2 linked regions of the Caenorhabditis elegans genome follow. The protein of the gene in region 1 purifies or fractionates together with the protein of each later gene. This does not show direct contact. Each region holds a gene or a part of one and is shown on either strand. Other genes may lie near its edges. The genes, in order: mrps-14 and C29E4.12.

Region 1 (4,552 bases):
TTTTTTCGATAAAATAGTAATAATACGAACAATTCTTCTACTCCAAAATTTGTCATCGTTTAATATCGTATTGAACCTTCTGCATACCAGTGGAATTTCTGTGATCAATTGTCGTTGTGGTAAATAGGTGAAAAGATGGCAAAGGAGCTCCGAAGGAAGGGATATGAGCTCCGTTGGTTGAGCATTTGTCATAAGGATGCTGTAAGAATAATGAGATAGATATTATGGGAAGCAGTGTTTCAGAGAAAATTAAAAATCGAAAAATTAAAATTTTCGATTTTCTGGAAAATCTTGAAATCTTTTTTTTACTTTAAATTTTTTGAATCAAACTTTGCCTGTTGATAAGAGAAAAAAAATACTTTTTCACTAAAAGGAAGCAAATTGACCGAAATTTTAATGTAATTTGTGAACAATGGGAAAACGAAAAAATAGCGATTTCTCTGGAAATTTTTTTTGAAGCCGACACCGCAGAAAAATTCGTTTTTTGAGATCAATGTGAAAGCGCGCTCAGCAGCGAAATGAGCAGGATCCGCCTCCAATAGTTGGGTCTCGTTAGGTATTGGAGGCAAAACAGTGAATCTCTGAAGCAGACATTTTTCGAAGACATCCTTGATTGCCGAAAAATAAAACGTTTGAATTTTTAGGCTTTTGCCGCCAATTAACTAACGAGACCCATTGTATTGGGGCTGTGGAGCACGCTCGCACACTGATGGACAGAAAAACATCTGAAAATAATAATTTTTCTGAAAAAAAAGTATTTTAATTGATCAATAACCAATACAGAGATATCATAATCTATATCACAATAAAACAAAAATAATTCATTAAGAGCATCGATAACAAAAGAAGTGTTCAAAACGAAGAAGAAATCAAAAATAGAAAACAAATAAATCTAAAACTACAACTCCTATCTCACACTACCACATGGCTCTTTGGACTCCACTGAGAGCTGATCTATCTGCAAATCGACGGAACAAGTGTCTACTCAATCTGTATGGCTTTATCTTTCCACGTTGTCGTCCTGTGAACTGGCACATATTGAGAATCAGACGAGGATGATCGTATTTTCGAGCTTTTTGCATTTTCTCGGCTGCTTCGTCACGAATCGCTTGCGGGAGAATTGTGTTGAATTTGATAGCTTTTAGACGCATACGATCCGCGCCGACTTCCTGAAATTAAATTTTAATCAAGGGCAAGCAGCAGGCCTGGGCTTGTTTAAGGCTTTTTTGTCAAAAATGGGGGTGTCGGGGGTTTTTTGTTACAAAAATGGGTTTTTTCTGGTTTTTTTGGTTTGTGGGGGTTTTTTTAATAAAAAAGGGAATTTTTTGGTTTTTTCGTCACAAAAAATGGTTTTTTTTTTGGGTTTTCTGTTTTGTGGGGTTTTGTTTTTTTAAAAAGTAATGATTTTCAATAACGATTTTTTGGTGGTTTTCGAATAAAAAAAATATTTAAAAAATTTCAGACATGTGAAAAGAAGCGAAAAACTTTTTTTTGTTTATGGAAAATTTTTTTTGGTGACAGCCCTGGTGTTTTTTGGTATTCTGGCACGAAGAAAAATGCGATTTTTTTTTTGTATTTTAAACAATTTATATTTTGTAAATATTCTTATGGTTTTTGATGTTTTTTAGCTCTGTCGGTAGTGGTGGCCGCTAGCAGTCTGGAGGTCACGAGTTCAAGTCCGGCCTCACCCCCTAGGTTCACCCAGCCTCTATTGGGAAGTGGAGCAATCCACGACTGGATTATCGGCCACAGTCCCCGGCTAGGACGTGGCTTAAATTACAGCCCAGAGGGATCACCACCAGGCAGTGTACCTGAATCCCAGATCCGCAGTGCATAGCACTTGAAGAACGGATCGTCCTTTAATCCTTTAATCCTTTAAAACAAATTTTTTGGCACATATGACAATATTCGTATTTTTTGGTATTTTTTGTTTTGGTTCTTTTACAAATTTCAATTTTTTTCCTTTTTGGTTTGAAATAAAAACCAAAAATATTTTTAGCACATATGACAATATTCGTATAAAAAATAGAAACCAACCTGAATCTGCTCACGTCGTTTGACATCTCTCAACTGACGCCAACTCGCCCAGAATGTCATTCGTTTTCCGGTTTTCCACCATTCTCTCTCCACGTATCTATAGAAACGTATATTCAATACAAGTGTATAGTTTATGTGCAATTCTTTCTCACTTTGAGAATAAAAAAGCGGCAGGCAATAATTTCAAAAATATACAAAAAAAACCAAAAACCTACAATGGATACTGATCAAGTTTCAATTTTGTAAGCGCCTCGCTAGAATATGGTTGAGTGATTCGTTTCTCTTTCATAGGTTCTCCAGCATCTTCTACAGATGTTGCCGGTTCCGTGGATTCCGTAGTCTCTTCAGATGATGGTTTTGCAGGTTCAGGAGCTGGAGTTGATAAATATCTGGAAATTGTTGGACATTTAAATTAAGCCATAAGACGATAATTCCTGTTTTCTCAGCGCGAGAAAAGGATTGAGTTCGAATAACAAATTTTGAAATTTGAAAACCAAAAAAAAAGTTTTCCATTTAGTTTTTTTTTCGAATAAAAAAGCAAAAATTGAACTTTTCGTCAAAAATACGAGTAATTTCGCAGGCCTCAAACGTTTTTTTTTGTTGAGAATTTTCGAATATTTTAATAATAATTGCATTTTACTTCTAATTTCAAGTGTAAGTTTTCGGAAAAAAAAGGGAAATTCTAAAAATTAATTTTTTAAAAACGTTTCCATTTTGTGGCAGGTTCACTTTTTTCAACGAAAAATTTTCGCTTAAACAAATTTTATAAATTGAAAGTTTAAAATATTCTCGAGTGTAAAAAAAGCAAAACATCAAAATTTTTCGCCAAAAGCAGGATTTTCGCATAGTTTAAATAATAATTAGAGAAATCTATACTCACCTTCTACTCATCATCATTTCATTCTTGTAAAGAGCCGTCGATAGTAGGTCCGCTGCTCCGCGGAGTGCCCTCAACATCTGTGCACATACATTGCAATACATATTTAATACAATTATTCATGCATGGAAGGAACTGGTTGGAGGAAGTGTAACCTCTTTCATGATGAAAGAAATATGACATTAAAACGAATATTTTCATTGTTGAAAACAAAAAATTTTTACCGAAACAAAAAATGCGAAAAGACAGAAGAATTATAATACAAAAATAAACATAATCTGTCGGATAGAAAGAACAAAAGAAAGAAAGATTCCTGGGATGAAATGAATACCGGTGGATAATTATATGGAATGGATTTTTAAAAAAGTTATAGGCCGAGTTACACAAAAAAGAGAGAATCAACGTCCGGATTCGGAATACTGTAGTCCAATTTCCTGCTGTGTTTTCATGTATTCCTCGTCGGTCACAAATAAACTATGCTCTTGTCCCATGCTTTGTTCGAGAATGAGGTAGCTGTAAATAGTGTTATTTAGAATGCATTGGCATGTGTGCTGATTATAATTGCATAGCGTTTTAATAAAATTTATTCGCTTTGTATTGTATTGTTGTATATAGACTAGACTAGAAATCGAAAAAAAATAATACGATTTAAATTAATTATACTTCGATAATTTGAACATTGTAATAAAATCAATCTTAGTTGATTATTTTCAAAAATCGGGCACAACAAATTACATTTTTGAACTGAAACTTTGCTCTCAATAATTGAACTTACATCATCTCCATTAGATCTCCATTCTTGCGGACAGTTTTTGCTTCAATATAATCAAAGTGCAAATTGAGAGCCCATGTACATTGACCTCTTGCACGAGTGTAAGCCTGTAAGAAATTTAAATTTCACATACAACCTTTTTTCCTGAAAACTCACATCGTCCTTTAGAATCTTCTGTGACAATTTACTGGCAACTCTTATAACTTGTCTCCAGATAGCCGGATCACGTGTATTAGCTGCTTCTCGTTTCCAATTTTTATAGAGGATTTGATTTCCGGCGTCTCCAATCCGGTTGGCTGCATTCATCCAAGAGAACATAATAGTCAACGAGTTCATGAGAAGACGAGTTTCAAGTTCTGGATCAAATTGCTGATCTCGTTTCGCATTCAAAATACTATTTCTGCTGTCGGTGAATCCTTGAAGCTTCATCACTTGCAGACGACCGCTGGAATGCAGCTCGCCGAGCATCTTCGCATATTTCGAATCACATGGGAACGCTTGCGATGCTTGGAAGATCAACTTTTTGAAGTTTTCATTGTAGATGAAACGGTGTTTTTTGTGCGAAAAGAAGGTTATGAGAGTGTCCGTGATGAATTTCAAATCGATCTGATCACAGTATTTTTCATAAGTTCCACGATTGAAATCATTTTTCTTGGCTTCAAATTGCTCGAATTTGGTGATCGCGTTGGCAATGAGGCAGTCGACTGCACGCCTGCTGAATGCCATCTTGTCCACTGAAATTTAATAAAATAATCAATTAATTTTTACAAAGACTCAAAGACTATAAAACTCACAGAAAACAAATACCGCCACAACTTTCAAAGCTTCGCACAGTGCCTCAGCTCTTGGTAATTCTGGTATACTGT
Region 2 (2,963 bases), on another chromosome or scaffold:
TAACTTCAGCATTCTCGACCATTCTCACTGCATCAATCGATTTTTTCTCTTCTTTTACTGTCTTCTCAAAATTTGCTAGAGCTTCCTGTTTCAGTGAGTCGATATCAGCCAAGTCGTAATTCGTCGATCCCAAATTAAAATTTTTCCGTCTTCCAGCTCCTCGTCTACTGCCGGTGTTTCCATCATCTTGACCTTTGTTCTCGACTAAATCCACAACTGAAATCGTCAGTTCATAGACATGATCTACTTTTCGACCATATACGGCACACGATCCTTGAATAATCCGGCATGCTCGTTGAAAATCGAACAATCTGTAAGTTGTCGCTGCATCCACCTGATTATCTGTGTCTTCACTTTCTTGTCTGATAACCTCGAGGTATCCGGCGAGTGCCTGAAAGTCGAGCAATTATTTATTTTATTTACCGAAAAAGAAAAGATACAACCGTGAAAAAAAATTATCCTTACTTTCAACACGTCGATTGAGAAGTTCTCGACAAGATCTTTTGCGGGTGTGACGAGCCATGCTAAATCTGTCGATTCTTGACCTGGAGGAGCATTCCTAGTCATTTGTACCTGAAACAACAATTCCAATGCTCTGGCGATGATTAACTATAAAAAAGATATAGAATGGTACGAAAACCATAAGGAAGTTATAAAAAACCTGAATAGTATTTTAAAAACGAAGTATTTTATTTTGATTGAAAAGAAAACAGGAATCTAATCTATTCGAGAAAGAAATAACAATTTTAAGTATTTTAAAGTTTCTTTTGTTCTGGAAGTTTCAATCCAACAATAGCAGCAGCCTCTTCAACACTCTTCTCGCCACCCTTATATCTCTCTTGAAGTTCATTAAGCTGTCGGGTTCTAAAATGAATGGATATTGATTATTACTTTCTTATTCTCATAAAACAAACGAACCCTTTAATATAGCTCAAATAGAGTTTTGCAACGCTCTCTGACTCGTTCTCGGCTTTTGAATATCTTCTTGTTGTAACCTGGTCGGCTTTCATTTGCTCCATGAGGTATTTATATTGTGCCGAATTCGGGGAGAATGTTTTGTCGACCTTTTTCAGTTCCGAAATGATGTTTTTGATGGTGTTGAAAGCGGTCACTCCTTTTCCAACAGCAGAGGCCATACTTTAATTTTGAAAATGTACAAAAAAGGGATAATAAATAGCACAATAACACAATTCAGACAAAAAAAGAAAACAGGAAAACGTTCTCAATTCAAACTGCGCGCGTGAGGCGCGCGTTGTTTAGCGAAACGCGGAGCATCGTTGCGGTACCATTTGCGCGGAAGTTTGAATCTAGTTTTTTGTGGCAATTGATTTTGACATTTTCCAATAATGTGGTAAATTATAAAATGGTACATTTATTTTAATAGAAACATGCCCAAGCAATATTAAATACTTTTTGAATGTAATTAATCAGCCTCAGTGAAAATAATCTGTTGAAATATTATCCCATTCGGAGATGCCAAAATTTCCAGTGCCAATCACGAATAAAGTGTCATTATTTGTCTGAAAACATTATATTTGAAATTCAATTGATTATTTTAATAACCTTATTTAATTGTTCTTCTGGAATTTCCACTGAAGTCATCACATGATGATTTCCGAATTTTATGAAGAGATGCGAGTCCAGTAAATGAATTGAGAATTTATAAAACTTTCCAAATTCTACTTTTCTTCGTGCTTTGAATTCAGCAATTATTGAACGGTCAACGAAATCGGAAAATATAGTTACTTTTTTATTTGAAAATTCAATCTCAACAAATATTCCACGACAGTTTATTACTTCTATGTCACATCCTGAAAATGTAATAGATTTTAATATGAATCACAACACTAATTACATACCACTACAATTACTCCTTATACCTAGAATGATGGATTTAGCTGTTGAGTGTTTTGGAATATTGACCTCGGCGTTTAGAATACTATTCTTCTTTCGATACCTAAATGGAAGGAATACCGTATACCGTATTTCCTCTATTAGTTTTGCACCCCTTTGCTCAACTTTGACACCTCATATCTCCTTTTTGGACATATAAATAATTAACAAACTACAAACTACAGAAAAAACATCTATCTAAATTTTTATCAGTTGACAACTTTTCTATAGAACAAACTACTACTGAGATATGAGCTGCCAAAGTTGAGAAAAGAGGTGTAAAAATATTAGAGGGAATACGGTATACTGTAGTTCCTCATAGGTCAAAGTCATCAATTCTTACGCCATAACTGCATATGGAGTTCGAATGTGTGAGGTGCACCAACTAATTGATGGGCGTGTCACTTTCTGTACCGCCCGTCCATTTCGTACCACCCATGATCCTTTTTGTGGCATCCAAAACTTTGGCTCCTCGTCGAATTCATAATTTTCAAAGTCGTCGTGATAATTCAAAGGAACCAATGGTGTTTTTATAGTAACTCTTTTCGGAGTTGAAACTGGAAGTGTAGTGAGTATTCCAAATGAATTAACAGGAAGAAGAATGGTAATTGTAGAATTGACAGATTTTGAAAAGAACTTTGAAGGTCCAAAGTTTAATGACATATTTAATCCTTGAAATGATGGAATTTCAGAGAATTTAAATCGAATAAGTTGACTTGGCTTGACATGGTATGGCCGTGGAGATGAATATTCGCATAAAGATTTCTTGTAACTCTGAAATTTTTTGAATTAAATGTTTATTCTCAAATCATTTGAAGCAATTTCTCATAATTAATATTAAAGTCTTACCATGGTTTCTACAAAAATGGTGGAATCTTTTCCATTTGTATAAGTGACATATGTTCCTCCACCATCAAATCTACCACTACTTTCTCTTAAAATCTTCCATCCTCGCTTAACATGAGAAGTAATGTATTCTGAAATAGTCGTGATTCAATTTTTTTGCACATTATTATCATACTTAGAACATGAAAAGCTTTTTCAGTTTGAAACTTATTCTCATCAATCCG

What was found.
Region 2: the proteins of mrps-14 (region 1) and C29E4.12 fractionate together in Caenorhabditis elegans (co-fractionation; one large-scale study listed by BioGRID). This does not show direct contact.

Annotation. Positions count from the first base shown.
Region 1 is NC_003280.10:10,239,497-10,244,048, forward strand, and holds mrps-14 (Small ribosomal subunit protein uS14m), read right to left. Parts: upstream 2,995-4,552; coding exon 2,918-2,994; intron 2,427-2,917; coding exon 2,253-2,426; intron 2,135-2,252; coding exon 2,038-2,134; intron 1,170-2,037; coding exon 918-1,169; 3' UTR 809-917; downstream 1-808. Other genes in the region: F-box/WD repeat-containing protein mec-15, read right to left, coding at 31-192; nrde-2 (Nuclear exosome regulator NRDE2), read right to left, coding at 3,313-3,427, 3,690-3,793, 3,843-4,420, 4,481-4,552.
Region 2 is NC_003281.10:7,939,327-7,942,289, reverse strand, and holds C29E4.12 (Protein FMC1 homolog), read right to left. Parts: upstream 1,234-2,963; 5' UTR 1,137-1,233; coding exon 919-1,136; intron 865-918; coding exon 756-864; 3' UTR 676-755; downstream 1-675. Other genes in the region: Condensin-2 complex subunit kle-2, read right to left, coding at 1-391, 466-567; C29E4.10 (Putative galactocerebrosidase), read right to left, coding at 1,434-1,520, 1,564-1,811, 1,860-1,957, 2,237-2,667, 2,743-2,870, 2,915-2,963.